7 linked regions of the Canis lupus familiaris genome follow. The protein of the gene in region 4 interacts with the protein of the main gene of each other region in a biochemical or structural test. Links are inferred from orthologs where the notes say so. Each region holds a gene or a part of one and is shown on either strand. Other genes may lie near its edges.

The links.
Region 1: of the proteins of RHOA (region 4) and SMURF2, one has a biochemical effect on the other in vitro, tested with the Homo sapiens proteins (3 studies listed by BioGRID, with this or other methods). The link is inferred for Canis lupus familiaris from reciprocal best matches to the Homo sapiens genes RHOA and SMURF2.
Region 2: the proteins of RHOA (region 4) and PLD1 form a complex in vitro, tested with the Homo sapiens proteins (2 studies listed by BioGRID, with this or other methods). The link is inferred for Canis lupus familiaris from reciprocal best matches to the Homo sapiens genes RHOA and PLD1.
Region 3: the proteins of RHOA (region 4) and RTKN form a complex in vitro, tested with the Homo sapiens proteins (8 studies listed by BioGRID). The link is inferred for Canis lupus familiaris from reciprocal best matches to the Homo sapiens genes RHOA and RTKN.
Region 5: of the proteins of RHOA (region 4) and ARHGAP32, one has a biochemical effect on the other in vitro, tested with the Homo sapiens proteins (3 studies listed by BioGRID). The link is inferred for Canis lupus familiaris from reciprocal best matches to the Homo sapiens genes RHOA and ARHGAP32.
Region 6: the proteins of RHOA (region 4) and MCF2 form a complex in vitro, tested with the Homo sapiens proteins (2 studies listed by BioGRID). The link is inferred for Canis lupus familiaris from reciprocal best matches to the Homo sapiens genes RHOA and MCF2.
Region 7: of the proteins of RHOA (region 4) and KCTD13, one has a biochemical effect on the other in vitro, tested with the Homo sapiens proteins (2 studies listed by BioGRID, with this or other methods). The link is inferred for Canis lupus familiaris from reciprocal best matches to the Homo sapiens genes RHOA and KCTD13.

The regions. Positions count from the first base shown.
Region 1 is NC_049230.1:14,568,551-14,572,688, reverse strand, and holds part of SMURF2 (E3 ubiquitin-protein ligase SMURF2), read right to left. Parts: intron 3,590-4,138; coding exon 3,469-3,589; intron 969-3,468; coding exon 767-968; intron 1-766. UniProt on the Homo sapiens protein: E3 ubiquitin-protein ligase which accepts ubiquitin from an E2 ubiquitin-conjugating enzyme in the form of a thioester and then directly transfers the ubiquitin to targeted substrates.
Region 2 is NC_049255.1:36,237,766-36,241,903, reverse strand, and holds part of PLD1 (phospholipase D1), read left to right. Parts: intron 1-2,773; coding exon 2,774-2,977; intron 2,978-3,965; coding exon 3,966-4,138. UniProt on the Homo sapiens protein: Function as phospholipase selective for phosphatidylcholine. Implicated as a critical step in numerous cellular pathways, including signal transduction, membrane trafficking, and the regulation of mitosis.
Region 3 is NC_049238.1:49,191,814-49,195,951, forward strand, and holds part of RTKN (rhotekin), read left to right. Parts: exon of another isoform or gene 1-11; coding exon of another isoform or gene 12-35; intron 36-2,772; coding exon 2,773-2,972; intron 2,973-4,138. UniProt on the Homo sapiens protein: Mediates Rho signaling to activate NF-kappa-B and may confer increased resistance to apoptosis to cells in gastric tumorigenesis. May play a novel role in the organization of septin structures.
Region 4 is NC_049241.1:40,283,175-40,287,312, reverse strand, and holds part of RHOA (transforming protein RhoA), read right to left. Parts: intron 2,582-4,138; 5' UTR 2,581-2,581; coding exon 2,425-2,580; intron 1-2,424. UniProt on the Homo sapiens protein: Small GTPase which cycles between an active GTP-bound and an inactive GDP-bound state.
Region 5 is NC_049226.1:5,710,934-5,715,071, reverse strand, and holds part of ARHGAP32 (rho GTPase-activating protein 32), read right to left. Parts: intron 3,468-4,138; coding exon 2,589-3,467; intron 1,914-2,588; coding exon 931-1,913; intron 1-930. UniProt on the Homo sapiens protein: GTPase-activating protein (GAP) promoting GTP hydrolysis on RHOA, CDC42 and RAC1 small GTPases. May be involved in the differentiation of neuronal cells during the formation of neurite extensions.
Region 6 is NC_049260.1:110,573,450-110,577,587, forward strand, and holds part of MCF2 (proto-oncogene DBL), read right to left. Parts: intron 2,393-4,138; coding exon 2,201-2,392; intron 1,232-2,200; coding exon 1,040-1,231; intron 1-1,039. UniProt on the Homo sapiens protein: Guanine nucleotide exchange factor (GEF) that modulates the Rho family of GTPases. Promotes the conversion of some member of the Rho family GTPase from the GDP-bound to the GTP-bound form. Isoform 1 exhibits no activity toward RHOA, RAC1 or CDC42.
Region 7 is NC_049227.1:18,120,466-18,125,224, reverse strand, and holds the start of KCTD13 (BTB/POZ domain-containing adapter for CUL3-mediated RhoA degradation protein 1), read left to right. Parts: upstream 1-1,650; 5' UTR 1,651-1,836; coding exon 1,837-2,080; intron 2,081-3,392; coding exon 3,393-3,562; intron 3,563-4,759. UniProt on the Homo sapiens protein: Substrate-specific adapter of a BCR (BTB-CUL3-RBX1) E3 ubiquitin-protein ligase complex required for synaptic transmission.

The sequences.
Region 1 (4,138 bases), on a different chromosome or scaffold from region 4:
CTTCACTTTACGCTTCTGGGTAGTCTGCTAACAAGTTCTCCAAGTAAGGAATTAAGCACAACTCCAAGGATGCCTTCCCTGTCTGTGGACTTCCAACACGTGTGCTGCGGGCAACGCTGTCCTGTCTGGCTGTGTAGGTCTTCAGATGTGACTGGTGGCAGCAGCCTTGCAAATGAAGAGCTTCAGAGGGAAAGGAAGCAAGTGCCACCCAGCGAAGCGCCACAATCCTTAGAGATATTGCCAACTCGCCCCCAAATTAAATAGCTATGCCGCAGAAAATAAGTCTTAAAAATGGAGTATGTTTGGAAATAAATGGTCTGACACTGTGCAATAATGACCAAACAAATGGCTTCCACAATGCAGGCTGCCTCCAAGAAAAGAATACAAAAGTAGAGGGAAGAGGCGTCCCAAGTGGGTTTTGGCTCTGCCAGGTTGAGGTGTGGAAGTGGAAGCAGACAGGCTTTCCCTACTGGAATGCGCCACACAGGTTAAAAGCCAGGTGACCAGAAAAGAAAAGGCAGAGACCACTGCCTACGGTCTCTAACGTACAGCACTCACTACAGGCACAGAGGCCCCAGGGAAAAGGTTCTTGGGAGGGGAACAAAGGAGAGGAAGGAGAAGAAGGTATCAAGATAAGGAGAGTCAGATATGGAAGAGAATGAAGAGAATCTGCTTAGAAGCCTGTGGTTTGTAAACTATATAAACCAAACATTGACGCCCTCCACCAGTGCTCTGATGCCATGTCGCGTTCCTCTGGCTTTTCTACCTTGTAAAGCTTTGAAGCCCTGCAGAGGCACTCTAGATGATCCTGTCACAAACTGAAGTAACCGTGCTCTTCGCTCTTCATCAAAAAACTCCACAGCCTTCCAGAACCACTTGACGACATTGCTGTCTGGTGTGCAGTGTTTTAATCGGGTGTTTACCTTCCAGTCGTTAACATCTATCTTTCCAAGTCCACAAATAATGAGCTGTTAAAATATTGCACAAATAATGAGCCAATGGAAATCCAAAGTTAAGCCCCAAATCCCTCAAACAGAACTTTAGATTTGTAGTGGTGGCTCTCATATGATGGTTCTTAATCAAAGATACAAATCAGAATCATCTAGAAAGCTTTTCAAAACATACACACCATCAGGTCCTATGTTCAGACTTCTGATTCTGTGGGTCTGGGGTGATATTAGGGATCTGTATTTAAAAGGATCCATGGGTGGTATCTACTTCCTGCAGGTTCCCTATCCAGAGTCTGAGAACCACCAGTGTGGAGAACATGACAGGATGAAAGTCTCGTATTTTCATAGAATTCTAAATTATGTTTAATGGACAGAAAATAGACTCAGAGTAAATACAGTGCCTTCCTTAATACCTGTATCATACTGGTATATCTGGTATATCATATCATGTATATACTGGTATATCATACTGGGTTTCAACACTTACGAGCTTTAGGATTTGGGCAATTGAGTCCATCCGCCTTGGCCAGCAGTTTCCACTGCTGTAATACTGTGTTAACACCTACTTTACTATATACCCTGTGCAAGAACCATACTGCTCAGGAACTCAAGAAATGGGTGCTGGATAAGCAAGAACAATCCATTTGATAATCTTTAAGTTACAGCAAAATACAAAATACAGAACTGCTCTGAGAGAGAGCTCTGCTGGACATCCTGATGCAAGGTCAGCATAGATGAGCCATATCAAAATCACTTGGATACTATTAATATATGTCTTTAGGGTCCAAGACTAATTCATCTAAGTATTTATAACAGTGAATTATAACAGTGTGTAGTATTAAAGCATAACATAACTGCAAACATAACTGCGAATCCCACATTTTGGAATTAGTTCTATTAATCCCATATAACACTAAAATAAATTATGTATTTTCATAAAAAATTAATTTCATTACCAATAGAAACTACATAATAAACCCTAATCATATTGCATAAAATCTTCACCAAAGCTTCAATAGAGTTCTGGAAAGATTACTGAATCACAGCTAGGCTCAACAGGGAGGTAGGTATCCAAATAGGATTATGGAAGTATTTATAACACAAAAGATACCTCCTCAGTTCTTTTCTCCAGAGGAGTGGTAATTGTAAGGTGAAATTTCTCACTCATTTCAACCATTACTGCCATTCCTGGCCACTTCCACTGGCCATTTCACTACTGAATAGTTCAAACACAAAAGGAATGGGGTTAGGGAGTCAAGCCAATCTATTTAGATCCCCTAACAGGTCTATTAATAGATTTAATTAGAAAGGACACTGAAGGGGAATCTGGCTGGCTCAGTCAGAAGTCCTGTGACTCTCAATCTTGGGGTTGTGAGTTCAAGGCCCATGCTGGGTGTAGAAACTACTTAAATAAATTTTTAAAAATTTAATTTTTTAAAAAAATTTATTCATTTGAGAGAGAGTACACAACGGCGGCAGGGTGGGGGAGCCAGAAGCAGATTCCCTGTTGAGCAGGGAGCCTAATGCAGGCTTGATCCCAGAATGTGGAGATTATGACCTGAGTAGAAAGCAGATGCTTAACCAACTGAGGCCACCCAGGTGCCCCAATAAATATTTTTTTAAAAAAAGAAAGGACACCGAGGTTAATGAATTTTAATCAATTTTTACATTTATTTGTAGATTTCAAATATTTATGCTACTCCTAGCCACGAATTAAATTTGGGGCCTTCAGTAGAATAAAAACCTCATTATTTTTTCAAAGTAGTTCAGATGTATTTGTATAAAAGTCTTAATTATAAAACCAGTTCAGATGTATTTGTTTAAAAGTCTTAATTATAAAACCTCATTATTTTTTCAAAGTAGTTCAGATGTATTTGTTTAAAAGTCTTAATTATAAAACCAGACTAAAGGTGTTTTAACAACCAGCTTTAAAAGAAAACAAAAAAATGGTTAACTGTTTATTACTGCTATTGGTAACGAATATTTCCAAAGAGAAGAAAGATGTTTAGATACACTTTATCCTAAATGTTTTAATTATTTCTCTATGATCTTGTTTATCAAATGCTGTCTTGCAAAGCTTAGTGTAAATCCAATTGAACCTAAGCTTTTCATTCAAAAAATTTCAATATGGTGGAGACAAAGTGATGGCATTTAATTATATCAATGACCACTGAATTAGGAAAAAAAAAATAACCACTTAATTAGGGAATAGAAAACATGTACATATAGAAGAATGTACACCTAAGACATGAAATCTATTGAAAATAAGAAAAGAAAATATGGAAAAATAAGAGTGTTCACAATATGAGAGAGATGGCTTACTTGTAGAAAATCCAAAGCATAAATAAAAAGCTTTTCCAAAGCAGGAAAGACCTTTCCTGTGAATAAGAATTCTTAAGCACTGTACCATAAAACTTCAAAAGCACCAGCAATATGACTTTCCTCTAAAACGCAGTTAACAGAAAATTCCCAACCTTCCCTGTGACACTAAATGATGTCATGACATTAACATACTGACCTCTAACTCCTTCTCATCAAATGTCTTCAGCAGATGCTGTGGAATTACTTCATTAAATCCTTTCTGCAGAGCCAGGAATTGCGCCTCAATGCCTCGTAAAAATCTCCAGTTCACATAGAGCCTGTAAACATTGGGCAGGGATTTCACACAATCAAATAGATTCAGATTTGGTGACTATTACGAATCTCTACTTGAGCAACAGTACACCTTGTGAGCACCTAGCATTAAGAGTTTAGTCTAGAGTCTAGGCTGCCTGGGGGGCTCAGTCAGTTTGGGGTGCAGCTCTTGGTTTCTGCCCAGGTCCTAATCTCATAGGTCATGAGATCAGGCTCCACATCAGGCCCTGCACTCAGCTCAGAGTCTGCTTGTGATTCTCTCCCTCTTCCTCTCCTCCCCACCACCCACACCAGCCACTCTGCAACCCCCAACCCTGCTCTCTCCCTCTCAAACAAATAAGTAAAATCTTTAAAAAAAAATTAATCTACAGTCTAAAGGAATCTCAGATTCCTGAGGGTACTGGACCTGGACCTGAGAGATAGTTCATTATAAATGAAAAAGTGGAAACCTTCCACTAACAAAAGCAGCATAAATAAAGCAACTCTGCAAATCAGAGAAACTCCTAGTACACTGGAAGGCAGCTAGAAATTAGTTGGGTCTGAAGTTAAAATCT
Region 2 (4,138 bases), on a different chromosome or scaffold from region 4:
GGCCATGATATTCAGCTTCTACGGTGGTGGTTTCCAGTTTTTTTTTTTCCATCATCAAAAGTGCTCCTGTCTTGTCCCACCATTTCCTGTGCCTCTGTCAGACTATTTGCTTGCAAGTAGAGTTGCTAAACAGCAGGTTATACACACACTAAGAGTTACTGGGGTGTACTGCCAAGTTGCCCAACCAAAGGGCATTACCAGCCTTTATTACTTTGAGAAGAGAGTGAGAGCATCTGTCTCTCCCCATCCTCATTTTCACAAGGTATCATTAAAAAAAAAAAAATTGTTAATGCCGTTAAAGATTGTGAGGCTGGAGGTTAGTGTCTTGAACCCAGCACAGCACTTCTCAGGCAGAAAAGGTTCAGGCAGGGGGTGTATTTAGAGCCCTCACAGATGGATTTGGGGGAAGCAAATCACATATAGGAGAATGCCTTTAACGTATGGGCAATGGCAGTGACTGGGAGGTTCTCTCTGTCAGTTTTAATGTGTAGACTCCAGAGACAGCTTCAGCCATCAGCACTGACACTTTAAAGAGGAGTTGACACTGGTAGTAGGGGAAACATGGTCGCACATGGAAAGGAAGCCCCACACTGCCTTCCCTTACTCCTCTTCCTGGTGATTCCAAGCAAAGGCCCAGCGTTTTGACTCTGTTATAAAAATGATTCTGGCTTTTTTAAATTATTATTATTGGAGTTCAATTTGCCAACATATAGCACAACACCCAGTGCTCATCCCATCAAGTGCCCCCTCAGTGCCCATCACCCAGTCACCCCCACCCCCCCACCCCCCGCCCACCCCCAACAGGAAGGAAATTCTGACATACACTAAAACATAGATGAACCTTGAAGACATTATTCTATATGAACTAAGCCAATCACAGGAAGGCAAATATTGTATGGTTCTATTTATATATATAAGTCCAAGTCAGAGACAGAGTAGAATGGTGTTTCTAGGGGTTGCAGGAAGGACAGAATGGGGAGTTATTGTTCAATGGGTATAGAGGTTTGCAAAACAAAGGGTTCTGGAGATAGTGGTGATGATCAAACGATATGAATGTACTTTATGCCACTGTACTGTACATTTAAAAATGGTTAATATGGTAAATTTTATGTGTATTTTACCACACATAAAAGAAGTAGGTTACTAAAAAAAGTAGTCTCAAAATTTTTTGGAATGTTTCTACTTAGAAGATCTACAAAAACAGGTCAGTCTGGGATCATTTAAAAAGAATTCTGTTTGAAAGCAGGAGGATAATATCTTCTAAAAATATCTTTCAAATCAAGAACTGACAAAGTATGCATATCCCTATATCCATATGCTTGCCATTTTAATTCAATGGCTGCCAAAATATCAATATACCTATTAAAAATTTTGTCAGAGATAGATGTTGGTTAAACATTTTTTGAGTTTTTTTGTTTTTAAAATAATATCAGGTGTAATGGAATTCTTTAAAGTGGAAAAAAGAATCAGCTTATGTCGAGCTGACTTACTGAACTATATGGCCAAATTACTAGCTAAATGGCAGCTGCCCCAAAATGTGGTATGGGGTGGTGCTGGTGGAGAGGCTTAAAAAGTAACTGAAAGTCTTCCTCTTCTAAATACTGAGAGTGAAATTAGAACTTTGGTGTATACATAGCACATTTTGGTATTTGAATTCTAGAGAATGCTATTCAGGGGAGAATGGCTAAAATTGACAACTGAGGAAACAACAGTTGTTGGCGAGGATGCGGATAAAGGGGAACCCTCTTACACTGTTGGTGGGAATGCAAACTGGTGCAGCCACTCTGGAAAACAGTATGGGGGTTTCTCAAGAAGTTAAAAATAGAGCTACCCTGAGATCCAGCAATTGCACTACGAGGTATTTATCCAAAGGATACAAAAATACAAAAATAGTGATTTGAAAGGGCACATGCACCCCAATGTTTATAGCAGCAATGTCCACAATAGCCAAAATATGGAAAGAGCCTAAATGTCCACCAACTGATGAATAGATACAGAAGAAGTGGTGTGTGTGATGTATGTGTGTGTGTGTGTGTATATATATATATATATATATATATATATATATATGAATATGACTCAGCCATCACAAAGAATGAAATCTTGCCATTTGCAACAACATGGATGGAACTAGAGTATATTATCCTAAGTGAAATAAGTCAGTCAGAGAAAGACAAGTACCATGTGATTTCACTCATATGTGGAATTTAAGAAACAAAAACAGATGAACACAGGGAAGGAAAAATAAAGTCAGATAAAGACAGGGAGGCAAAAAAAGAAAAAAAAAACAGGGACGCAAACAGTAAGAGGCTCTTATCCATAGGAAACAAACTGAGGGTTGCTGGAGGGGAGGGGGTGGGGGGACGGGCTAACTGGATGATGGGCTCTAAGGAGGGCACGTGATGTAATGAGCACTGGGTGTTATATACAAGTAGCGAATTACTAAATTCTACCCTTGAAACTAATACTACACTAAATGTTAACTAACTTGAATTTAAATGAAGTCTTGAAAGAGGACCAAAGCAGAACAGGGAGGGAGGGAGGGAAGAAAGGAAGGAAGGAAGGAAGGAAGGAAGGAAGGAAGGAAGGAAGGAAGGAAGGAAGGAAGGAAGGAAGGAAAGGAAGGAAAGGAAGGAAGGAAGGAAGGAAGGAAGAAAGAAAAAAGAAAGAAAAAGAAAATGCTATTCAAGGGAGAAGACAGATCTGTTTTATTACAAAATGAAGGACACTTTAAAAAGTGCATCACCTGTGGGTGTTTCTTTTCCCTCCCAAGGTGATGAGGCACCCAGATCATGTGTCATCCAGCGTGTATCTGTGGGCTCATCATGAGAAAATTGTGGTCATCGACCAGTCAGTGGCCTTTGTGGGTGGGATCGACCTGGCCTATGGAAGGTGGGATGATAACGAACACAGACTCACGGACGTGGGCAGTGTGAAGCGTGTCACCGGAGGACCGTCGTCTCTGGGTTCTTTCACAGTAAGTGGATTTCACCTCTATGGAACTGCATAGAAGGGACATGATTTGCATACCTATGCGTTAATAGCGGGACTGACTGGTTGGTCGAATGAGGGGTGGCGTATCCCTGTATGAGCAGACCTGTTTTCAAACACCACCTGGCAAGTCTGTAACATCGCATCTCTTATTCTCAGTTTCTTCTCTTGTAAGAGAAAAGAGATCCAATAGCGTGTTTGATAGCTCAGAGCAGCTCCTTTGTTTTCCATTTAAAGAAAAGGCTCATTTCTCGTGTGGAAAAAAGGTTCATAAACAAAAATATGTGTCGATTGGGCTTTACGTTAAACAAGCAGACTTATTCCAAGCACCTGCTGAGCCTTTTGAAATCTTCCTACTTAAAGACGTGCAAAAATAGGGCAGGAGTCATGGAGGGGCTTCTTTTGAATGCAGGAAGTTAATAACTTCTCGAAGTACCTTTCACATCAGGAGCTGCCAAGACACCCATACGCCCGTATCCACACGCAGTGCTGACTTGTTTCAACCCTAACGGTGGCCAACATATCAATACACTTATTACAATTTTGATGGGCTCATCTCTTTTTACTGCTGGATATGTGACCTTTCTGGAAAGAAAGAGTTGGTGAATAAGTAGCTGGGAAAATAATTAACAGAAAAAGCATTTATCAGAGGCAGAAGTTCGGTAGCTCAACGGTGACTATAACTCACGTAATTGTGTTTGGAATAAAAAGGTTAGTAGGGATGAAATTTCAAGAATTTGGCCTACTGAAGGAGGAGCTACAATGGAACGCCTGGTATCCCTGTGCTAGCCCTGACCCGGCTCCTAGGAATCCTCCACTGCCCTGTGGCTGACCTCACCCAGTATTGTGTGTCGGTTAGAGGGCCTCTGTCATGTGTGAACTTTACACTTCAGCTCAGCTGGAATTAAAGGATCGCATTGCAGCATACCTTACGCAGTGTCTTTTTTTTTTTTTTTTTAAAATAATTTTCTCAGGCTGAAACAACGGAGTCCATGGAATCCCTAAGCCTGAAAAATGAAAAGGAATCTAGTAAAAATGTGCCCACCTCGAAGAGTGTTGATGATATGGATTCAAAGCTGAAAGGAATAGGAAAGTCCAGAAAATTCTCTAAATTTAGCCTCTACAGGCAGCTCCACAGGCATCACCT
Region 3 (4,138 bases), on a different chromosome or scaffold from region 4:
CCTCAAGAGCAATGGACAGGGCTAGGGAAGGATCTGTGAGTGCTGGGGCCCGGACAGAGACTAGCCAGGAGGGGGCTTAGGCACGCTTCTGTCCCCACCCTCCCCACCTTCTCTCCTCTGTGGTGTTTGTGGCAGAAACTGGATGCAGAACGGGATGGGGGTTGGCAAGCAGGAAAGCTTAGCAAAGGTGGAATCCTGATGTAGACAGACATAGAGTGGCTGGGGGGGGGGGGCAGTTTGCTGTGGGAGCTATGTAGTCTGGGAGGGCTTCCTAGAGGAGGGGGCATTGGGACCTGGGTGGCCTATTTTTGAAGGGTTAGGAAGGGAAACTGTGGGAGAGGGGTAATGAAAGCCAGTCCTAGCCCAGTGGTGGCCCAGGAAATAAATTGTGAATGGAGAATGTGCAGGGAGGCTGGAAAAAGCTTTTGAAGCAGGAATATGGGATGTTCAGATCTTGGAGACTTGAAGGCTGGAGTCACCAGGAACAGAAGCAAGTGCACAGTGTGAGAGCTGGTGTGAAGGAGAAGACGGGTTTTGGGTGATCACATTCACTCCCCTCTTCCAGCTTGGTGCCATCACTTGGCTTCCTCTCAGATTAATCTTATACTGTAATGCAGCTTGTCTTCCACCCTCTTTCTGAAGCCTTCCCCATCATGTTAGCCAGGAGCAGAAAGGTCTGTCTCCTGGAGTGTGTTTATGCCATGACATGGCACTTATGGTACAGCCATTGATGTCTGCATCTCTCACTTCCCAGTTGGATTTTAAATGTGGACCCTTGAGCAGCACAGAGGTGCTCCAGAGTTTGTTGGGTGAATGCTATTTTCTGCCAAAGTGGCATCATTTAAAAAGCATTCTCACCATTCATGTATACTGTGTGCTGGGCATTATGCTAGGTGCTTTACATTCCTGACTTAATGAATCCTCACAACCCTGGGATGTGGGGGCTATTTCCAACTGCATTTTATAGATGATGAAACCAAGTCTTAGGAAGGTTGAGCTCATTTTAAATCAGTTCTTTCCAGCTTCTCAAGACTGACAGGACTAACTCAGACCCAGGTTTGTCTTATGTCAAACTGGTGCTCTTCCCCTCCACTGTCTGCCAAGACCTCCAGGGCTCTTTCTGAGTAAATGTTCCTCAGAATCCTGGTGCCTCTCTCAGTGCCTAAACCACCGCCCCATCCTTATGCACAGCCTATTTAGCCCCTCACTCCTGACCTGCTTTACCTGCCTTCCCATCCCTAATCCTTGCCACTGTCCTCAACCTCCCAAGATCAGAGAGCCAGTAGGTGGCGGATCCCCTAATTTGGAGTGTGTACAGGGTTCTGAGAAGCATGGGTGAATGCTATAGGTGGTATGCTCCTTCTCCATAGATCTCTTGCCAACTAGATGTCCCCGCCCCCCCCCCCCCCGCCCCCCCCCGCCATCACATGAGTCTTTGGAGTAACCTAGGATGGTCTTTACTATCTTGTTCATTTTCTTTAGTTGGTAGTTCTCAGCCCTGCCTACACCTCAGAAGCACTTGGGGAATTTTCAAAAAACCACCCACGTTCCACTCTTAGAGATTCTTACTCTGCAAGTCTGAAGTAGAGCCTGGTAATGTGTGTGTGTGTCTGTGTGTGTTTAACTGAAAGGATTTAATATTTTAAAAAGGTAACACAAGAGGTGCCTGAGTGGCTCAGTTGGTTAAGTGTCTGACTCTTGATTCTGCCTCAGGTCATGCTCTCAGGGTTGTAAGATTAAATTTACATTTTACAGATTAAGATTAAGCTCCACATCAGTCCTGTTGGGCATGAGTCTGCTTGAGATTCTCTCTCCCCTTCTTCCTCATAAAACAAAACAAAATCACAATTTCCAATTGTACAGTAGTAAAGAAGGATATATATTTTTTTAAAAAGTAACATAAATCTATTTTCCATTCCTGGCACCCAGGCCCATATATATATATCACTTGATTTTCTGACCGACCTAGTATCCTATATATATATATATATATATATATATATATATATATATATATATAAAGTAAGAAAAGAGAGTAGAACAGTATTACAGCATGCTACCATTTGTACACTATATATATATATTTTTTTTTTTTTTTTCTGAGAGAGAGTAAGTATGCATGCATGTTCAAGCATGAGCAGGGGGAGGGGCAAAGGGAGAAGGATAATCCTAAGCAGACTCCTTGGTGAGTGCAGAGCCTGATTCGGGGCTCGGTCTCAGAACCCTGAGATCATGACCTGAGCCAGAATCGAGATTTGGATGCTTAACTGAATGAAACACCCAGGCACCCCTCATTTCATATATTTTGAAGATTATTTCATATCTGCATATATATGTCTACCTCACTCTTTAATGTTTGCAATATTCCATATTCCATGGAAATGCTGGAACTTATTTAACCAATGCTTGAGTGAACTTTTAATGTTGGTGTTTTAAAACAAAGTTGCAATGAATATGGCTTTGCTCACATGTTTAACTGTCTTTGTGGGATAAACTCCTAGATATTGAATAGCTGGACCAGAGGATATGTGAATTTCTAGTTTTCATAGATTTTTCCAAATTGTGCTCAAAAGAGGCTGAAGGAATTTAAGCTCTTACCATCAACTGCACGAGGACAAAGCTTCTCTGGTTATTGGGCAGCTGAGGTTGAGTTGCCTGAAATAGAAGTTTCTTGTCAGTTTCTCCTGGGCCACAGCCCACTGGGGACTGGAGGGTGCTTCAGCCTGTCCCCAACTGACATTTCCTTCTTATCCTTTTCCCCACTCTGTCTAGGACACAGAGTTGCAGAGAAAGCTAGACCATGAGATCCGGATGAGGGAAGGGGCCTGCAAGCTGCTGGCGGCCTGCTCCCAGCGAGAACAGGCCCTAGAGGCCACCAAGAGCCTGCTGGTGTGCAATAGCCGCATCCTTAGCTACATGGGCGAGCTGCAGCGGCGGAAAGAGGCACAGGTGCTGGAGAAGACAGGCCGGCGGTGAGCAAGGGGGACACAAGGCCTTATGGCGGGTAGTGGTGCAGTGTGTATATGTTCTTTGTATGGGTCACCCTGAAGGTCAATTCCCCATGAAGCCCTGTCAAATGCCTGGGAGACCCATTGGCATTTTATTACCACAGTGTGCTGCCCACAGGTGCACTAGTGAGTAGCTAGGACTGGACTCAGGAGAGCCAGGGTATCTGGTGAAAGGCTGTGAGGCTGAGGGGTTATAATATAAAAGTGCTAATTTGCTACACTCAGCCTGTGATCTGATGAGGCTGCCTGCCTGGCTTCTGGAAAGCTCATCTTCTCAAAGTCAGTTCACCAGATGGCCAATTTACCACCAACTGACAATAGTGTACCTGAGGCTCACTTCACACATGAGCAGTGCTTGAGGGAGGAAATAATTAAAAATATTTAAGGGAAAAAAATATTTAAGGGAATGCCTACCCATTCACATAAATTAGATAATGTATTTTAAAAGGGGTCAGCTTCTGGATATGAAACACCAGCTACACTGACATTAGATGCTGCCAATCTGACAGCTGCAGGGAAATGGTTGAGGTGATGCTCTGGTGAAACTAAAATGTTGGAGAGAATGAATACCAGGCAAGTTGATCATTCTGAGAATTGGCCACTTTTGGTAAACTGGTCATTTCGAAAACTGGCTTCTGGCAAAACAAGCCTGCTTGGCCCCACAAAGCTGGATGGAAAGAAGGTCCTAGCTACTCACTGGTATGATCCCCTCCCACCTCAGCCATGAAGGCTGCCACCAGAAGTTGCCAGGAGCCCTCCAGAGCTCACTCATGAAGCCCCCAGGGGAAGGTAGATAAGCAACTCTGTGGCTTCCCTGTAAAGCAAATGGGCAGGCAGACAAGGGGCAGTTCCTAATGTGAATTTGCTGTCTCCCAAGAGGCAGCCATCATCAAGCGTTACCCTGTCCAAGTCCCCGCACAGCCTAGGCAGTGGGATTTGAGATACACCCCAAATCACTGACAACTAAATGCGTTGCCAAAAGTGTCACATCATTTAGCTTAAGGCCCTACTAAGTTGCTAATGGTTAAACTGGCTGTCACCTTAGGAGAGATGCATGCTCGGGGAGTCCTGCTGGTGGGTAGGGAGGGGGGAAAGGCCCCGGTGTGGGGGCTGAGGAACTTGGGGTACTG
Region 4 (4,138 bases):
AAGTACATAATTCAAAATATCGAGTCAAAAATTACTTATCTTGTAAAAAGCACAGTATTTAATTATAAACATTATACACAGAAAAGCAGATGAACAAGGAAAATCAACTATAAACAACATTCTACCAAGTATACAAAACATGACAGAGAAACACTAGACGTGAGTAACTTTCCCCTATATATTCTAATATAACCCTTTCCTTATGTTTTTCTCATCATTTTGCCCCAATGTGCAAACATGGATACAAGATTATTTGAGGGGAACCTGGGTAACTCAGTCAGCTAAGCATCTGCCTTTGGCTCAGGTCATGGTCCCAGGTCCTGGGATAGAGCCCCACATTGGGCTCCCTGCTCAATGGGGAGTCTGCTCCTCCTTCTCTGTTTCCCTCTGTTCTTCTGCTAATAAATAAATAAAATATTTTTTTAAAAATGGTGGGATCCCTGGGTGGCGCAGCGGTTTGGCGCCTGCCTTTGGCCCAGGGCGCAATCCTGGAGACCCGGGATTGAATCCCACGTCGGGCTCCCGGTGCATGGAGCCTGCTTCTCCCTCTGCCTGTGTCTCTGCCTCTCTCTGTGTGTGACTATCATAAATAAATAAAAAATTTTAAAAAATGGTATTTGAATTGGTGGGTAAGAAAAGACACCAGGCTAGGTGTTAGGCAAGGTCTCAGTGGACAAGAAAGGTCTCTGGACCTGCCTTTTCTGCTCAAAAAAATGTGAATGAAAGCATCACTAAGATAGTAAAGTACTCCCTTCACACCTGGAAACCTGCTCACCTTCCTGTGGTAGGAGGGCAAGCTAATGCCTGGGCTCTGGACAGAGGTCCCCCTCCATGTTCTCCAGCACTGCAGCCAGCCCTGTGATTTCTCACAACCAGAATGGGATTTTAACATCTTCTGCTTAGCGACCCCATGGTGCTCAAAGCTCTCCTAGTATTTGGAATACCCTTTTTTTTTTTTTTTCCTCCTAGAACTTTCACAGCCCATATTTCAAAGTTTCTAAGTAACATCTTTTCCTTAAAGTTGATGGCTAATTATCTCTTCCACCCTCAAACTCTGCCCTAGGATGCATCACTCACAACCTCCACGAGGCCCACCTGCACTTCTATCATACACACACACACACACCCCCCCATCAGTTTGATATGTGTATTTCTAATACTTTGATACCCAATCCTCACAACAGACTGGAACATTTACTCTCTGCCAAATCACGCTGCCCTGGCCCCTTCATGCCTCATGTGTATTCAGTGAGACACATCCAACCCTATATGCTGATAAATGAATGGTTCAGGGTATTGGGCCTATCTCTTGTTAGAATGGGCTTTTCCATTTTTGGTAGGTATGTTCCTGGGACACAATCACCTAGAATCTTTGACGGTTTCCTAGGCTCTGTTACTGTATACTCTTAAATGAACATTCTGAGGCAGTACCCTCTCTCAACTTGGAGGTTACTTACTTACTACCAAGCATTTTTATTTCAGGGACCCTAGAATTCTGAATAGCTGGCTTAATGTGCTTTCCAAACACAGTGCCACAAACTGAGGCACTAGAACAGAAAGGGATAGTAAGGTAAAGCAGAAAAATGAGAAGGATGAAAGGACATGGAATTATGGGGGCCAATATATTAGGTGCTAGCAGCATGAGACACATGAACAAATGCCCGAGAGGACTGAGTTATTGGAGAAGAGCCCATTGTTCTAGTTTTCTTTTTCAGCTGACCCACCTGCAGTGGGAATTTCATGCATCTTCAAAATATGTACAGGAAGCTGGATAAGACATTTTCACAACAAAAAGCAGAACATAAAAAACCTATAAACTCTAATTCCAGAAGAGTTTTCCTCTAGTCTTGCCAGTGGATTTTCAGGACAGACATGAAGAAACACCATCCTCATTGCCAGTGACAGGTAATTGAAGCAAAGGTGGCAGCCTATTTATGTTAAAGTCAAAAACCATTTACACAAATTAAATATGAGGATGTTATTTAACTGTCACATTGCTGGTGGAGTAGATCAGTATAGCCCTTTGAGACCCATAAAATGACCTGTTGTTGACCTAGTAATCCCGTATTTTAGTGCTGAATGAAATATTAGGAAAAAAACTGGAAAAAAAATCCCACCCATACAAAAAGGTTCATTTTAGTATTATCCATCTAGCAACAAACTAAATTTCAAATATAAAACTGTTAAGAGCACATATACTAGGGCTTCCCTATATAAAATAGGTAGGAACGTTAGCAAAGTCTAGATGATAGCAGTTAAAAATTAATAAAGTTAAGATGGCAAGAATAGAATGGATTTCTCATTCAAACACGTCTGTAATCATTAAACTGTATACTGAAGAAACAAAAAGACCTAATTCTCTACAGGCTCTATGAACAGCCTAAGATACAAAATGAAACCAGTTGTTACGAAAAGTGTACTCACCTGCTTTCCATCAACTTCAATATCTGCCACATAGTTCTCAAACACTGTGGGTACATACACCTCTGGGAACTGGTCCTTGCTAAAGACGATGAGCAAACAAGTCTTACCACAGGCTCCATCACCAACAATCACCAGTTTCTTCCGGATGGCAGCCATGCTGAAACATGAGACAAAGGTGTTATCTAGAATGCATAAGCTATTAATAGCTTCAAGCTATGACACACACTTTTCTAACCATGGGGCACAAGTCTGTATAGCACACCCAAATACAAAATGCTAGTACGGCTTTCCACTTGACATCAAAAGGTCGTAACAAAACTCCACAACTAACAGGTTACACTATTTAAACTTGATTTCTTTTTAAGATTTGAGAGATGATAGGATAGGATAGGATAGGATAGGATAGGATAGGATAGGATAGGAGTGAGGGGCAGGTGGCGATACTATAAGTAAGCACTCCGCGCTGAGTGTGGAGCCTGACGTGGGGCTTGATCCCAGGATCCTGAGATCATCACCTGAGCTCAACCCTATAGTAGAATGCTTAACTGTGCCATCCAAGCACCCAAAACAGATGTTTATACTTAATGGTAAAAAGACAAAGCTTTTCCTCAAGATCAGGAACAAGACAAGAGTGGCCACTCTTGCCACTTCTAACTAACATGATACTGGAGACTCTAGCCAGAGTAATTAAACAAGGTGATGAAACAAGACATCCAGATTGGAAAGGAAGAAGTAAAACTATCTTAACTTGAAGATGATATGACCTTATATATGGAAAATCCTAAGGAATCCACTAAACATTATTAAAACAAATTCAGGGGATCCCTGGGTGGCTCAGCGGTTTGGTGCCTGCCTTTAGCCCAGGGCATGATCCTGGAGTCCCGGGATCAAGTCCCACATCGGGCTCTCTGCATGGAGCCTGCTTCTCCCTCTGCCTGTGTCTCTGACTCACTCTCTCTCTTTCTGTGTCTCTTATGAATAAATAAATAAAATCTCTAAAAAAAAAAAAAAAAAAAAAAAAGGAGGGATCTATTAAAAAAAACCACAAATTCAGTAAGGCCGTAGGATACAAGACGAACATACAAAAAACAACTGTATTTCTATAACCTAGTAATGAACAAAGAGAAAATGAAATTAAGAAGATAAAATTTCAGGGGTGCTTGGGTGGCTCAGTGGTTGAGCATCTGCCTTTGGCTCAGGTTGTGATCTGGGGTGGGGATCGAGTCATGTGTCAGGCTCCCCACAGGGAGCCTGCTTATCGCTGTCTCTGCAAGTCTCTCATGAATAAATGAAATCTTAAAAAAAAAAAAAAGACAATTTCATTTTCAATGGCTTCAAAAAGAATAAGGATAAATTTACCAAAAGTATAAAATATACCCTGAAAACTCCAAAACACTGTTGAGAAAGAACTATGAAGATAATAGATCTATGAAAGATCTATGAAGATAATGAATGAAGACATTTCAAGTTTCTGGACTGGAAGACAATATTGTTAAATGGCAACATCTTCCAAATTATTCTAGAGATTCAAGACAATCCCTATCAAAATACCAGAAGGCTTCTTCACAGAAATTGACAAACTGATTAGAAAATTCACAAAGATAATTCAATGGACTCAGAATGTAAAAACAATAGTGAAAAAGAACAAAGTTGTAGGACTCAAGCTTCCTGATTTTAAAACTTACTGTAGGAGTGCCTGGTGGTTCAGCTGGTT
Region 5 (4,138 bases), on a different chromosome or scaffold from region 4:
CATCCTCCACTAAAGCCGACATACTGAAGTCTCTTCAGTTCGAGGTGACCACAAAGCATGTGGGGCACTTTTCTAAAGCATGAGAAAGTCAGAAAGACATTCTCAGCATTCTACATACAATATTCTCTCCTCTAAGCAGATGCTTGACTACAGAACAACCTGCTGGTTTATGTTAAGAAAATGACAAAAAAGACCTAAGACACTGTCATCTCTTACATTTCTAAAAAGTCTACAAGGAGATCCCTGGGTGGCTCAGTGGTTTTGCGTCTGCCTTCGGACCAGGGCGTAATCCTGGAGACCAGGGATCGAGCCCCACATCGGGCTCCCTACATGGAGCCTGCTTTTCCCTCTGCCTGTGTCTCTGCCTCTCTCTCTCTCTCTCTCTCTCTCTGTCTCTCATGAATAAATAAATAAAGTCTTTAAAAAAAAAAAGTCTACAAGGAAAAAGGCTTTATTCTCAAGAACAAAGCACATTCATTGCGCAGATGTGAATCACTGGCGCAGGGTGGGTTAAATGACCTGCCTAAAGCCACGATGAGTCAGTGACGGAGGGGGGTGGGGCGACCTGCAGCCCTGACACCTGAAGCCCAATCTGATTGACTTGATCATGATCTCTGCATCGCTGTGAATAAAATCTGATTGACTTGATCATGATCTCTGCATCGCTGTGAATAAACTACCTAGATGCTTTAGGAAGCAGCAGGTATAGTTAACCTAGAGTCCCTGAGTAACTGCTCCTCTCTCAGAGAAAAACTGGCATCAAGGTAAAGGCAGGGTCCAACCTCAGACAGGAAATGTTTCACGGAAACCTGCCTCAGGACTCAACAGAAATGGCCTGTGTGACTCAAAAGTGACAGCACACCCTGCTGAAAAGTGACATACCTTCGGAAAAAAGTCTATTTCATCTCCCTGACCCCCTCCCCTCCTTACCTTGTGGGAATTACTCAGTCCTACGCTGGCTGCTGCTTGTACCTGCCCCAGGCCCGGCAGCTGCTCCGCTGGCCTCTGGGAAGGAGGCGGAGGAAGGGGACGGTTAGTTCTCGGAGCGCGCTGGAGGGTGGCAGCAGCGAACTCGGTGGTGGGGCCTTGTTCAACCACCGCATCCCAGTTGGCCTCCCTGGTGCCGATTTCAGCTGTTGCTGGAGCAGTTGTCATGTAAGCCACGGTGGCCGTGCTGGCCTTCTCTTCGGGGGACCCAGAAGGAGGGTAGATTTTGTCCCGAGGCAAACCAGAAGGTGTGGGAGATTTGTCTGCAAGTTCTGACGGGTGATGGGGCTTATCCACGCATGCACCAAGGTAAGAAGGAGGCTGATCTCCGCTGTAGAAATGAAGCTGAGACTGGTCCTGATCCAGAAAGGAGACAGTTGGCATACTGGTCTTCCCAGATTGGGCTTCAGGGAAACTTAGGTGATCATCAGACTTGGAGTCTGTTAAGGGAACTGAAGTGATTCTGGCCTTTTCTGGGTCCCCAGATAAATAGGTCCGATGTGGATGATTCCCTGGGAAGTCAACCTGGTGCAGCTGTTCCCCAGATTCAGTCGCACTGGCATGAGTGTGGCTCCCAATGGTGGCTGTCTCTGGCGTGGGCTGGTCACAGTTCCCCGATACACTGCTCTGGAGGTGGAACTCCTCTGCTGGCCTATCAGTTTGGAAATAGGCTTTATCTAGAGTAACGCTAGAGTAGGAGCTAGGCAGGTGATCTTCCGGTGCAGCTACTGCTAGGTCTCCATAGTTTGTATAAGCAGCCTGAGAAGTCCCTGGTCTCTTCAGTGACTGAGTTGAGGCTTGCTGCGCAGACTCAGCTAATGCCAGCGCCAACAGGCGGGCAACGTTTTTCGGAGGCGGTGGTGGTGGGATAAGAGAGACTGAACTGACAGGAACGGACTCCTGAGGGGGGTCATGGGAAACTGCTCCTGGTGGGAAATTGGGAAAAAAAATGAGAGTGAAAAGGTAGCTTGTGTTATCCTATACGGAAAGCCAAACGCGCCCCATGTGATCACTAAAAAAACAGGTGCCTTCCATATTTCAAAATGGCAATCCATGATCTTCTATCCCACATGCAAATGCTGGAGAAAACACATCTGGTTCAGAAGGAAAACTAAAACAAAGTGTTTAAAGATTGCAATCTCCTCTTGAATTGCTACAGAGATGGGGGGAAGCAGGTCCCTCATCTGGCTCAGAAAAGACTGCTTAGATAACAAGCTTCAAGTGCCTGCAGATTATTAAGGATAGTTTTTACATTTGATGGAGTAGGCTGGCTGGTTTACTCGTAAGGCTAGAATACAGGTACTTTTATTAGAAAACAGAATCAAGAGCTACGAAGTTGTGCAAAAATTATCCATGAATTCTGACTGTTGAAAGACAAAAGGGGACTTTATGAAGGTCTGAAGCAGGACCACTGGCCCTTTGGGGGATTTTTCTTTGATTTTAACTTAGGGCTTTGAGCCATCACAGCACCACCCAGAAAAACATTCTCTTTGATAAAAGGCTAGCTGTGGAGTAAATTTCTCTCTTAAAAGGCACAGATGGCACATAGAATTGAAGATCCCTCTTAGCTTAAGGAAAGAATGGAGGAAAACAAATGGTACCTGTCTGAGTCTGTCCAGAAGGTACAGCCTTACTCTGACTGCTCGAGACGACCTGCTCCTCTTTCCCTGGCGATTCTACTTCTGCAGCAGCCCCCTGGTCTAGGGGCTGGGCTTCAGACTCACATCCTTCTTGGGCCTCTTTCTCACTTGTTTTCATCTTTACTACCTGGGTGGGGGATCTGTTTATGACATCACTGTCTTCAGCACTTTTGTTCCAGGTTGGAGAAGATGCATTTGGAGTTGCTGTATTTGACACTGTCCCCATGACTTCCGATACCCGAGTGGGAAGAGTAACTGAAATTGGCTCAGATATATTCATAGAAGGTGATTTGCTTAACTTCCGTCCAATCTTTGGAGAGAAAGCATAGACGACCTTTTCAGTGAATGAGGATGGCTTGGATGATTTTTCTTCGGTTGGACTCAAGTCTAAGGTAAAGAATGGACTCAGTTTCTCCTGAAGAGGAGAGACAGCTTCAGAACTTGCAGTGCTTCCTGGAGTCTGAGACTGGCTACCACCTGCTTCTGTATCCTTTTTGTTGGTGCTCGGTTTCTCCTGGGAGTATCCTAAGGAGTCAAAAAAGGAAGCCCCACTCTCCAGACACTCTGATTCAGGCTTAGGGGGGCTGCACTGAAATGACATGGGATCAAAATCCAGGCTGGCGACGCCAATGTCTGGCGGGCTCAAGTCAACATCCTCAGCTGTGTGGGGAGACATAAGAGCTGGAATATGGAGCAGCCCTACTTCCTCCTCACTCTCATTGTCATGGGGCAGATTATCATAGGAATTACAGCGGTTCCCCAGCATTTCTCCGTTAAAAGAGGCGCTCAGTGCATCACTGCTAGATCTGGGTCTTCTGGGTCGAAACAGCTTGGAATCACCTAGTAAAAACGGATAACAACATCAAAGTATGAATGTACAGGATACACAATACACAACACCGTGAAAGCCACCTACTTAGTACAGTAGTGATGCACTGTAACAGGGTGAAAATGTTACTTCTCATTTTCTTCCCAGAAACTGTCTCTGGGCCTACAGAGGGAACTCCCGAACCAAATGTTGAATAATAAAAACATCTGATGTCATCAGGTGGAGAATGAAGGACTCAGAACTCTTAGATTTTATTACTATAGTCCAACACTGACTCTTGTTGTGACTTTGGGCAAGATTTCATTTCTTTTTGCTTTATCACTGATCTCACATATGGTTTCTAAGATAGAATTAACCACCTTAAATAGAACTTTGGATATACCACAGCAAAAGGGTTTTGTTTTGTTTTTGTTTTTGGTGGGGAAAAATCCTCATTAACACTCACATTTCTAAAAAGCAAACATGTCAACTAAAAATATCTCCACAATCCCATAAAGTATATATATACGTACTTAGAACAGGATTCTTTTCAGATACTTAAACAAAGATAATTTCATTTTTTCCTTAGTATGAATAGGCTTTTTAACTCTCTCAGGCAGAGTCCTTCAAGAGTAGACTGTTACACTATTTTATGATATTGCTACACATCCAACTGGTAACAGAAATCCTCAAGCTCATATCT
Region 6 (4,138 bases), on a different chromosome or scaffold from region 4:
CTGGAAAAGAAGGCATGTTTAGCACAAGAAAGCCACCAGTTAAGCCCCATTACAGATGTTTGTTACATGTTAGCCTGCAGGACACTCTATCTTTCCGTGTCGTAAAAAGCTCCTCCTAGACCCTCCTAGATGATTTGAGGCAGTTAGAGATTAGCTTGGTTGCTTCCAGAGAAATCACTTAGTTATTGCTCTGGCCACGTTTCTGATTTTCTGGGGCATCCCCTAAGATCTGCAGCTAAGCATGGTTTTAGATGCTGTTCCAAACTTAAGAGTCAACTACACATTTTGGCAATAAATAGCATCACAAAAGCTCTTAACTACAATGTGGGGAGAGTGCTTCATGACACCTCCAACACGGTGGATCTGAACTGACCCACAGATCTCTCTACCTTGTTAATACCAATGTCTGCTTGCACCCCTCCCCCAAGAAGCCTGAAATCATTTCTTTATCCCTTCATTCTCAAACTGAGTAGGAAAGCCAGATCTGTGTCCACACAGCATCTGTTGGTTGTAACTGCAGCAGGAAGACAAGACATTTGGAGTAGAACGCTCTTGACACAGGCCCAGTATTCTCCTAGAATAGCTTTAGCCCTTTCTCTAAGGATGCGCAAAACAATGTATGTGAGATCTCCTAGTATGTTGAAAAGAGTTGAAAAATAATGGAGTCACAGCTCAAAAAGAACTTATTCTTCATTATGTAGCAAGCATAAAGCCTTGGGGGGGAAAAAAGCCTTGGGATGCTTTTTTTTAAAAGTCTATCCATTTAGTCATTTTTAAGTAATCTACACCCAATGTGGGGCTTAAACCAGTAACCTTGACATCAAGAGGCACATGCTCTACCAACCGAAGCAGCCAGGCGCTCCAAGCCTTTGGATTCTTGGATGCTTCACAGGGGTACTAATATCACCCCTCATCCTTAAGAGAAGCATGTAACTGCAATTTGACATAAAGTTAGCTGTGAAGTAGTAATACTCTTGCCAACACTACTGGAATTACAGTTTTAAAAATATATTCATTTGAAAAAAAAACAGCCTCTTACCTTGAGTTCAGGAGATAAAATTACATCAAATTCATACTGTAGGGTATCAGGATCATAATTTATAAATGGCAAAGCCATTTCAAGAAAATTTTCAATGTCTCGGAGGGCTTTCTGAGCATCTTCTTTAGACTGAAACTTATCTATTTCCTGATTAGCTAGAAGGCATTCTCCTTCATCACAGCACTGACGAGCCTGATGAGCAAATCACACACACACATACACAAAACCATGAATGAATAAATAGAAATATGTTTGTCCTTTTAGGAGTGTTTACCAGCCCTGGCTTCTGTGAATCAGAGTTGTTTTCAGAGTTGTTAAAAATAAAGATATCTGGGTTCTGCCCCCAGAAATTCTGATTCAGTAGCTCTGGGCCTTAAGCCAGGCATTTAGATTTCTGCAGAGCTCCACAGGTATTTCTGATGCACAGCCAAGGTTGGGAAGCACTGTATTTATTTCATAACAAGGAATTCATTCTGCAGTAAAGAGTCTGACCGTACTCGCAACACTAACACTTCAGCTGCATGCTATTTTCCAAAAATCAATAAGTGAAATATGAAAACGCCTCGCAAAACACAAAGTGTAATATAAATGCATAGTGATTGCCAAGGACAAGGATAAAAGTTTCCTTGCCAAAGAAGGAGATGAACTGATTAAAATGTTCATGTTCAGATACAATGTCTATAAATGATATCCTCATTTTACATTCCACTTCCAAGGCCAGATCTCCCCTTCGCTGCCTAATTCTGAAAGGGGCCAGATCTACAAGCCATGGAGGAGTATCTTCCAGTCACTGTTTAATTTCTTATTGCGGTAACTATGAAATGTGGAAGGAGTTCTGGCTTTAGCAAAATGCCTCTAGGGCTTTGAAAGGTGCTCTGACTGCAAACTATCACCAGAGGAGAGGATTCAGGGATGTGCCCAAAATAGAAAGGAAGCCATCACAACTGTGATCTCAATATTCAGAAAAGAAGCCAGAATGCTTATAATACTAGACTTGCCATGGATACTGCAAAGGTACCCGGACTAAATAAACATCATCAAAGTCAATGCTTCAACGTCTTACAAATTTAATTCCAAAGCTATCCCAGGCAGACCTTTATCCTATAACCTTAAAAAAAATTATCTTCCTATTCAGAAATGTACCAGGTCTCATGACACTACCTGCTGCAGCAGCTTATGCATTTTGAAGATCCTGCTGAGCTGTATCCTTTTGGCTTTGATCTCATTAACCAAAATATCAGAAAGGTAACGTAGCTCATTGCACCTCTGGCAGATCAAATCAAGTGCGTAATGGTGATTTGCAGCAAGTCTGTGTCCGTGTAATATCACAAACCGGGCCTTTGCTAACAGATCCTAATTGTGAGAAAGAAGTAAAATAAGAACCGTATGATATCTGTTCAGAGAGAGGAGGGGAAACAAGAAAGCGATTGAGAAGCAAATTGGTTTAGCGAGGCAGAGAGAATGCCAAAAATATGATTTGATGTCATACTTGTGCAGGCTGTAAGAAAGCTTACAGTTACAGTCATTAGCTAGAGCAGTGACGCCACGTATTCCTGGTAACAGAAAAAGAAAATTAACTGGCCTGCTCAGAGTGTGGATGAGGTTGGCTTCTCCTGGTAGGTACAGATTGAGAACAGAACTGCATATATCCAAAGAGGAACACGGGAGACAAATGAAAACTCATGGGTTTCCTACCATCTCAGCTTTGGAAACGTCATGAGTCATCGTCTACCTGGCTGCTTTACATACACGAAGGGGTCTCCGAGTCAAAGGTGATCTCAGCAGCCTTGCCTCCATTCTATCAACTACTGGCATCCCCCCCTCCACCCTGGTCCCCCACTTGCTTCCCGACGCAGTGCCTGAAGCAGTAGGTGGTCAGAAAATATCTGTGGAAGTAAAATAAGAAAATCTAAAGCCCATAATGATGAAGTGCCCAGCCTGCCTGGCTGGAGGGAAACCCAGAGTTAAAGTAGGGAATTTTCATTGTTTGGTTTTTGTTTTTTTACATTTACCCTGCCATGAATTCTTAAGGACTGGGTTCCAGGAGCTCAGGCTCCTTTCCTTTGGTTCTCACAAAGTGTGCTCCTCTGGGTGGGCAGGCTGGCACTTCAGTTGAACCCAAGTCCCTTTCTCTTTAGCTTCCTTCTTTAAAAAAAAAAAAGATTTTATTTATTTATTCATGAGACACAGAGAGAGAGAGAGGTAGAGACACAGGCCAAGGGAGAAACAGGCTCTCTGCAAGGAGCCCAATGTGGGACTTGATCTCAGGACCCCTGGATCACGACCTGAGCCAAAGGCAGACACTCAACCACTGAGCCACCCAGGAGTCCCAGGGAGTTACATTTTTAAAATAGGTATAGTTTCAGATTTGCAAAATGAAAAAGTTCTGGCAATCTATTGCACAACAATATGACTATAGTTGACACTACTGAAATGTACACTTTAAAATGGTTAAGATGGGGGATGCCTGAGTGGCTCAGTCCATTACACGTCCAACTCTTGGTTTTAACTCAGGTCATGATCTCAGGGTTGTGAGATCAGTGTTGGAGCCTGCTTGAGATATTCTCTCTCTCCCTCTGCCCCTTGCTCCAGCTCCCTTTCACTTTCATTCTCTCTCAAAAAAAAATTTCTTTTGAATGGTTAAGATGATAAATTTCATGTTATGTGGGGTTTTTTTGCCACAATTAAACCTAAAAAAAATTTAAAAACAAAACAAAAATAGCAAACAAAAACCTCCAAGCTTCCTTGTTTCCAAGCCAGTTTGCCTTCTCTTTCTACTATGCCACAGAGGTTTATAAACTGCCCCCAAATCACAACGACCTACAAGCATAATTCTAGAGCTGTTCACCACAACTGCTGCCTCTCACATATTGTTTTTATTTTTTAAAAAGATTTTATTTTTATTTATTTGAGAGAGAGAGCATGAGCAGAGTGGAGAGGCAGAGGGAGAGGAAGAAGCAGACTCTCCGCTGAGCAGGGAGCCAGACATGAGGCTCGATCCCAGAACCCTGAGATCCTGACTGGAGCCAAAGGCAGAAGCTTAACCAACTAAGTCACCCAGGCTAGGTTCCTTTCCCTCAAATTTTAGATGGTTACAGT
Region 7 (4,759 bases), on a different chromosome or scaffold from region 4:
TTATTATAGGATTTGGGCTTGTGTTAGATTCTCGAGGAGAGCTCAAGAAAGGGGAGATTTGCTTCAGGTTGGATGTTGTCAGGAAGCGGTGATAATTCTTTTTGGTTATCTTAATAAATCTCATCTAGAAGTTAGAAGGAATGGATTAGGATTAAAGCTATATTTAGGGGAACCTGGGCAGCTCAGATGGTTGAGCATCTACCTTCTGCTCAGGTCATGATCCCAGGGTCCTGGGATCAAGCCCCCTATTCAGCAGGGAGCCTGCTTCTCCCTTTCCCTCTCCTGCCCACCCTGCTTGTGCTATCTCTCTCTCTCTCTTTTTTTCTCTCTCTCTGTCAAATAACTAAAATCTTTTTTTAAAAAGCTGTACTTGGTAAAGAAGCAGCAGTCACTCAAACTGTAGGAGAAGGGGTTATGTTTGGTCATTTTTGTGTTTGGGCAATGTTGGTTTTGTGTTCAGAAATAATTATGAAATGGTCTTTCTCTCAATCTGTCAGAGTGCCATGGCCTAGCTGATAGTGCCAGGCCTGCTCCTAGCATTACCAAGGTTTCCACAGGGAGAGTGTAAACTAGCTCCCAGCTGTCCTGGGCTGCCTTTTTTTTTTTTTTTTTTTTTTAAATCAGTTGCACTTGAAAAATCAGAATTGGCAACCTCTTTTGGTAAAACATGAGCTCTCTGGGTCACCACAGGCTCCATTACTCCCCAATACCTTGTAATGCCCCACCCCACTCATGTACACTCCTAACTGTTCCCTGGCATTGAAATCTGCACCCCACACTAAGCAAAATAGGAACCAAGCCCAGAGAAAAGTGACTTGGCTAGGATCACCCAATGAACTTGTGGGAGAGTGGAAATTGTTTACATTTTCCCTCCAGCAAACCCCCATGCTAGACATTAAGATCCTTTGTTAAATCTCTGAAGTATCAGCCTCTCAACGGAACGTAGATCCAGTCAGATAAACACTTCTCAGTACATTTTCCTGTCAATAACATGTCCCTGACTTATTCTTTCTTTTTTTCGGGATTGGGCGTCTCGAGACCTTAGCTGGGATTCTAAAACCTTTGCTTGGCCGCTGCAGCCATCCCTGACATTCATTCTGCTCAATACCACAGGCGTGTTTCTGCCTGGAGTCTGTGTGTGTGCACTTCCCTCTGCCTGGAGTTCTCCCTCACACCTTAGTGTGGCCTCGTCTTCTCAGCTTCGGCTCTGCATCACTTCCTCAGGCACGCACTTCCTGACGACCTTACCTACTACACACACCCTGCATGTCCTAGCACTACTGTCACCTCTCTAAGGAGGCCACCTCACTTTGGCCTCTTGTACAAGTCTCCCTTGGTGCTTTGTTCGAAGCTCTCCGCAGTCTGTCAAAAGCGCGGGGATGGGAGGCGGAAACCTTGCCTTTCACGCCCGCGAAGCGCTCTGAGGGCAGAGACTCAACCACCGCGAGGCGACCTCGCTTTCCACAGCAGGCATGTGGCGGAGCCCGTCCTCCAACCACTGTCCAAGACCCGCGCGAGTACCTCACGTCGCGCGGGATCCCACCCCGCCGGAGGCTGCGCGCTACCTCTCCACGGGGGCCCTAGGTCACCACGCATGCTCCGCACCGCCGGCGCGCGAGGTCAGGGGCGGGACCTTGGCGCGCCTGCGCACCTGCTCAGCCTCGGCTTCCGGGCGGCGTCGGCGTGATGGGGCTGAGGGCTGCGGCGGAGTAGCCGCGGCGTGTGGTCGTGTGGACCTCGCTGTCTGTTCCGACGGCTCGGGTCTCGGGGTCTTTGGGAGCCGCCGGAGGGTGCGGAGAGAGCCTAGGATCGCGCCGTCCGCCGCCAGTCCCCGGCATGTCGGCCGAGGCTTCGGGCCCGGCGGCGGCCGAGGCCCCGTCCCTGGAAGCCCCCAAGCCCTCGGGTCTCGAGCCTGGCTCCGCCGCCTACGGTCTCAAGCCGCTGACCCCGAACAGCAAGTACGTGAAGCTGAATGTGGGCGGCTCGCTGCACTACACCACGCTGCGCACCCTCACGGGACAGGACACCATGCTCAAAGCCATGTTCAGCGGCCGCGCGGAGGTGCTCACTGACGCGGGAGGTACGCCGCGCCGCACTTACCTGTGTGGTCCTCCATCCTCCAGATCCCCGTCTGCCTTCCCTCGCCCAGTCTCCTCATATCCCCTCTCTCGCGTCTCTACCGTGCAGTCAACTCATTTCACCTCCCTCCAGCCCCCCCATCCAGTCTCATCGCCCCTTCCTCATTCATAATTCCCCTCCTATCTCAGTCCTTTATCCCTAGCAATAACCAACATTTAAGGGAACATCACATGCCCGCTTCCAACACGCGCTGTGGTAAGTAATTCAACACGTCACTTCCGAATTTTTATTACCAGTCCCCTCCAATTCTCCCACCCTTTACTCCTCAGCTCAGACGACTTGGGAACCAGTCCTGCTACCAGCAGCACCCTTCCAGGCAACCTTCATGTTCCTTCCAACTGCCCAGCCTTATGTTTGCCTCTCTACCTCAGCACTGCTAACAACCGGCCTGGAGGAGTTGTCTGTCTCTGTATTCCTCCAACACAGGTCCCCGTACGCTCTAGGGATCCATTTGTAAATGCAGACTGTAGAAAAAGGCTGTTTTGGGGGTTTGCCATGGACACCAGAGAGAAGGGTGGACAGTTCTCTTTGGCAGGTGAACCTTACCTTCTTGGAGTGTTGCCTTCAGGGTTGGAACCCACATGCCCAGGTGGAACTGTAGTTTTTGTGAGGGTGGGGGAAGGTATTGAGAGGGGTATAACAATGATAGTAAAGAGCAGGAAAATTAAAATTTGGGCGATGGAGTTCAATCTTAAAATATCTGAGGTTGAAGGATTTGATTATTCAACAAGTATTTGTAAAGTGCCAGTTAGTGCCAGAGATACTTTGGTAAATGAATCAGACAAGATTAGTCTTATAGACTTCACTTTTTTGTGGGGGCAGGAGGAAAATAATAAGCAAATACACATATGAAAAATACGTGTGAAGTTCTATGAATAATATAAAGGTTGAAATGGTAGTGAACTGGGGGGTGGGGTAGATATTTTAATTAAGGCAGTCAGAACTAATGCCAAAGGTTAGAGTTTGTTGGTAAGGTAATCATTTTCATTGCAATCATTTTCTCATGGTGAGAACTTTTTCAATTCAGAACAGACCTGGAAAGGAATTCATTCTCTGTGTCTACGAATGTTAAAAAGGGGTCTATGGGAAAACTCACTGGAGATGTTTTAAAGGGATTTTCTTGGATGTGGCAAAGGTTTGAGACAGATCAGTATTCAGACCTGTAGCTTTGGAATCTGTTTTTCATAAAAATTTAGTAGCTCCAGAGCCCCCTGCAAAGCCATCCTTCCTCTTGCCTGTCTCCACTCCACCAGGTTGGGTGCTGATTGACCGGAGCGGCCGCCACTTTGGTACAATCCTCAACTACCTGCGGGATGGGTCCGTGCCACTGCCTGATAATACCAGAGAACTGGGGGAGCTACTAGGCGAAGCACGCTACTACCTGGTACAGGGTCTGATTGAGGACTGCCAGCTAGCATTGCAGGTGAGGGGCCCTGGGTCCCACCTTATACCCATGTCTCTGGGAGAGCTGTCTAAGCACTTAGATACTAGCACATTAAAAAATAGAGGGGAGGTATCTGGGGTATTGTTTGGAGAGGCTCCCTATGGCCTGGCTGTGACTAGCCATAACTACAGAAAATTTGGTTGGAGGTGCTTTCCTGTGTATTCCTGCTACCTCAGGAAGGACCTCCCTCACCACCTCGTGCCAGGACTATTACAGTAGTTTTTTTGTTTAAGATTTTATTTATTTTTTCATGAGAGACACAAAGAGAGGCAGAGACATAGGCAGAGAGAGAAGCAGGCCCCATGCAGGGAGCCTGATGTGGGACTCGATCCTCTGATTTCCAGGATCATGCCCTGGGCCAAAGGCAGACGCTCAACCGCTGAGCTACCCAGGGGTCCCTGTTACAGTAGTTAAATGACTGTTCTCTCCTTGCTGTTCCTACCTGGCTAATCCGGCAATCACACTACCACCTGAGTGATGATCCTTAAACAGTCTAGTCTCCCCTTTGCTCCTAAATCTTAAATAACTCCCTGTGCCACTAGGAAAAAAAAATCCAATTTTAAATTAGAATATAATGATCTCTGTGATTTGGTCCTGTCCTGGGAGGCAGTATTCCACCCCCAGCCAGGTTTTTGTTGTTGTTGTTTTTAACTTCTTTTTTAGCAATGAAATCCTAGAATCAGAGCTGCTCCCCAAAAGACAGATTGGGGGTTCCACGCCCCAACTTCTGGGCTTCTCTTCTATGGATCTCAGGGTTCTGAAGAGAGCTTAGAAAGCACAGCCAGGACCTGTGGGTTAAGTGTCACCTCTACCACAGCTGACTGAGTGACCTTGATTAAGTCAGTTCCTACCTCTGGCATTCTGTTCTCATGTTCCAAAAGATAGGAAAACAAGAAAAATATGTACACTGTAGTGAGTTTTACATAAAGCCTTTTATTTTGTTCTATTTTTACATTGTTAAAAATGTACCTTCTTTTATGATACAATATTACTAGGAGATTATAAGAGTTTCTTTTTTAGTGCCCTTTATATATTAAAAAGTGGCGACTATAAACAGTTTTCTGTTATCTTGGTGAATACATATCGGTTCTTGAAATTCAAAAGTATAGGGCAGCCTGGGTGGCTCAGCGGTTTAGCGCCGCCTTCAGCCCAGGGCATGATCCTGGAGACCCAGGA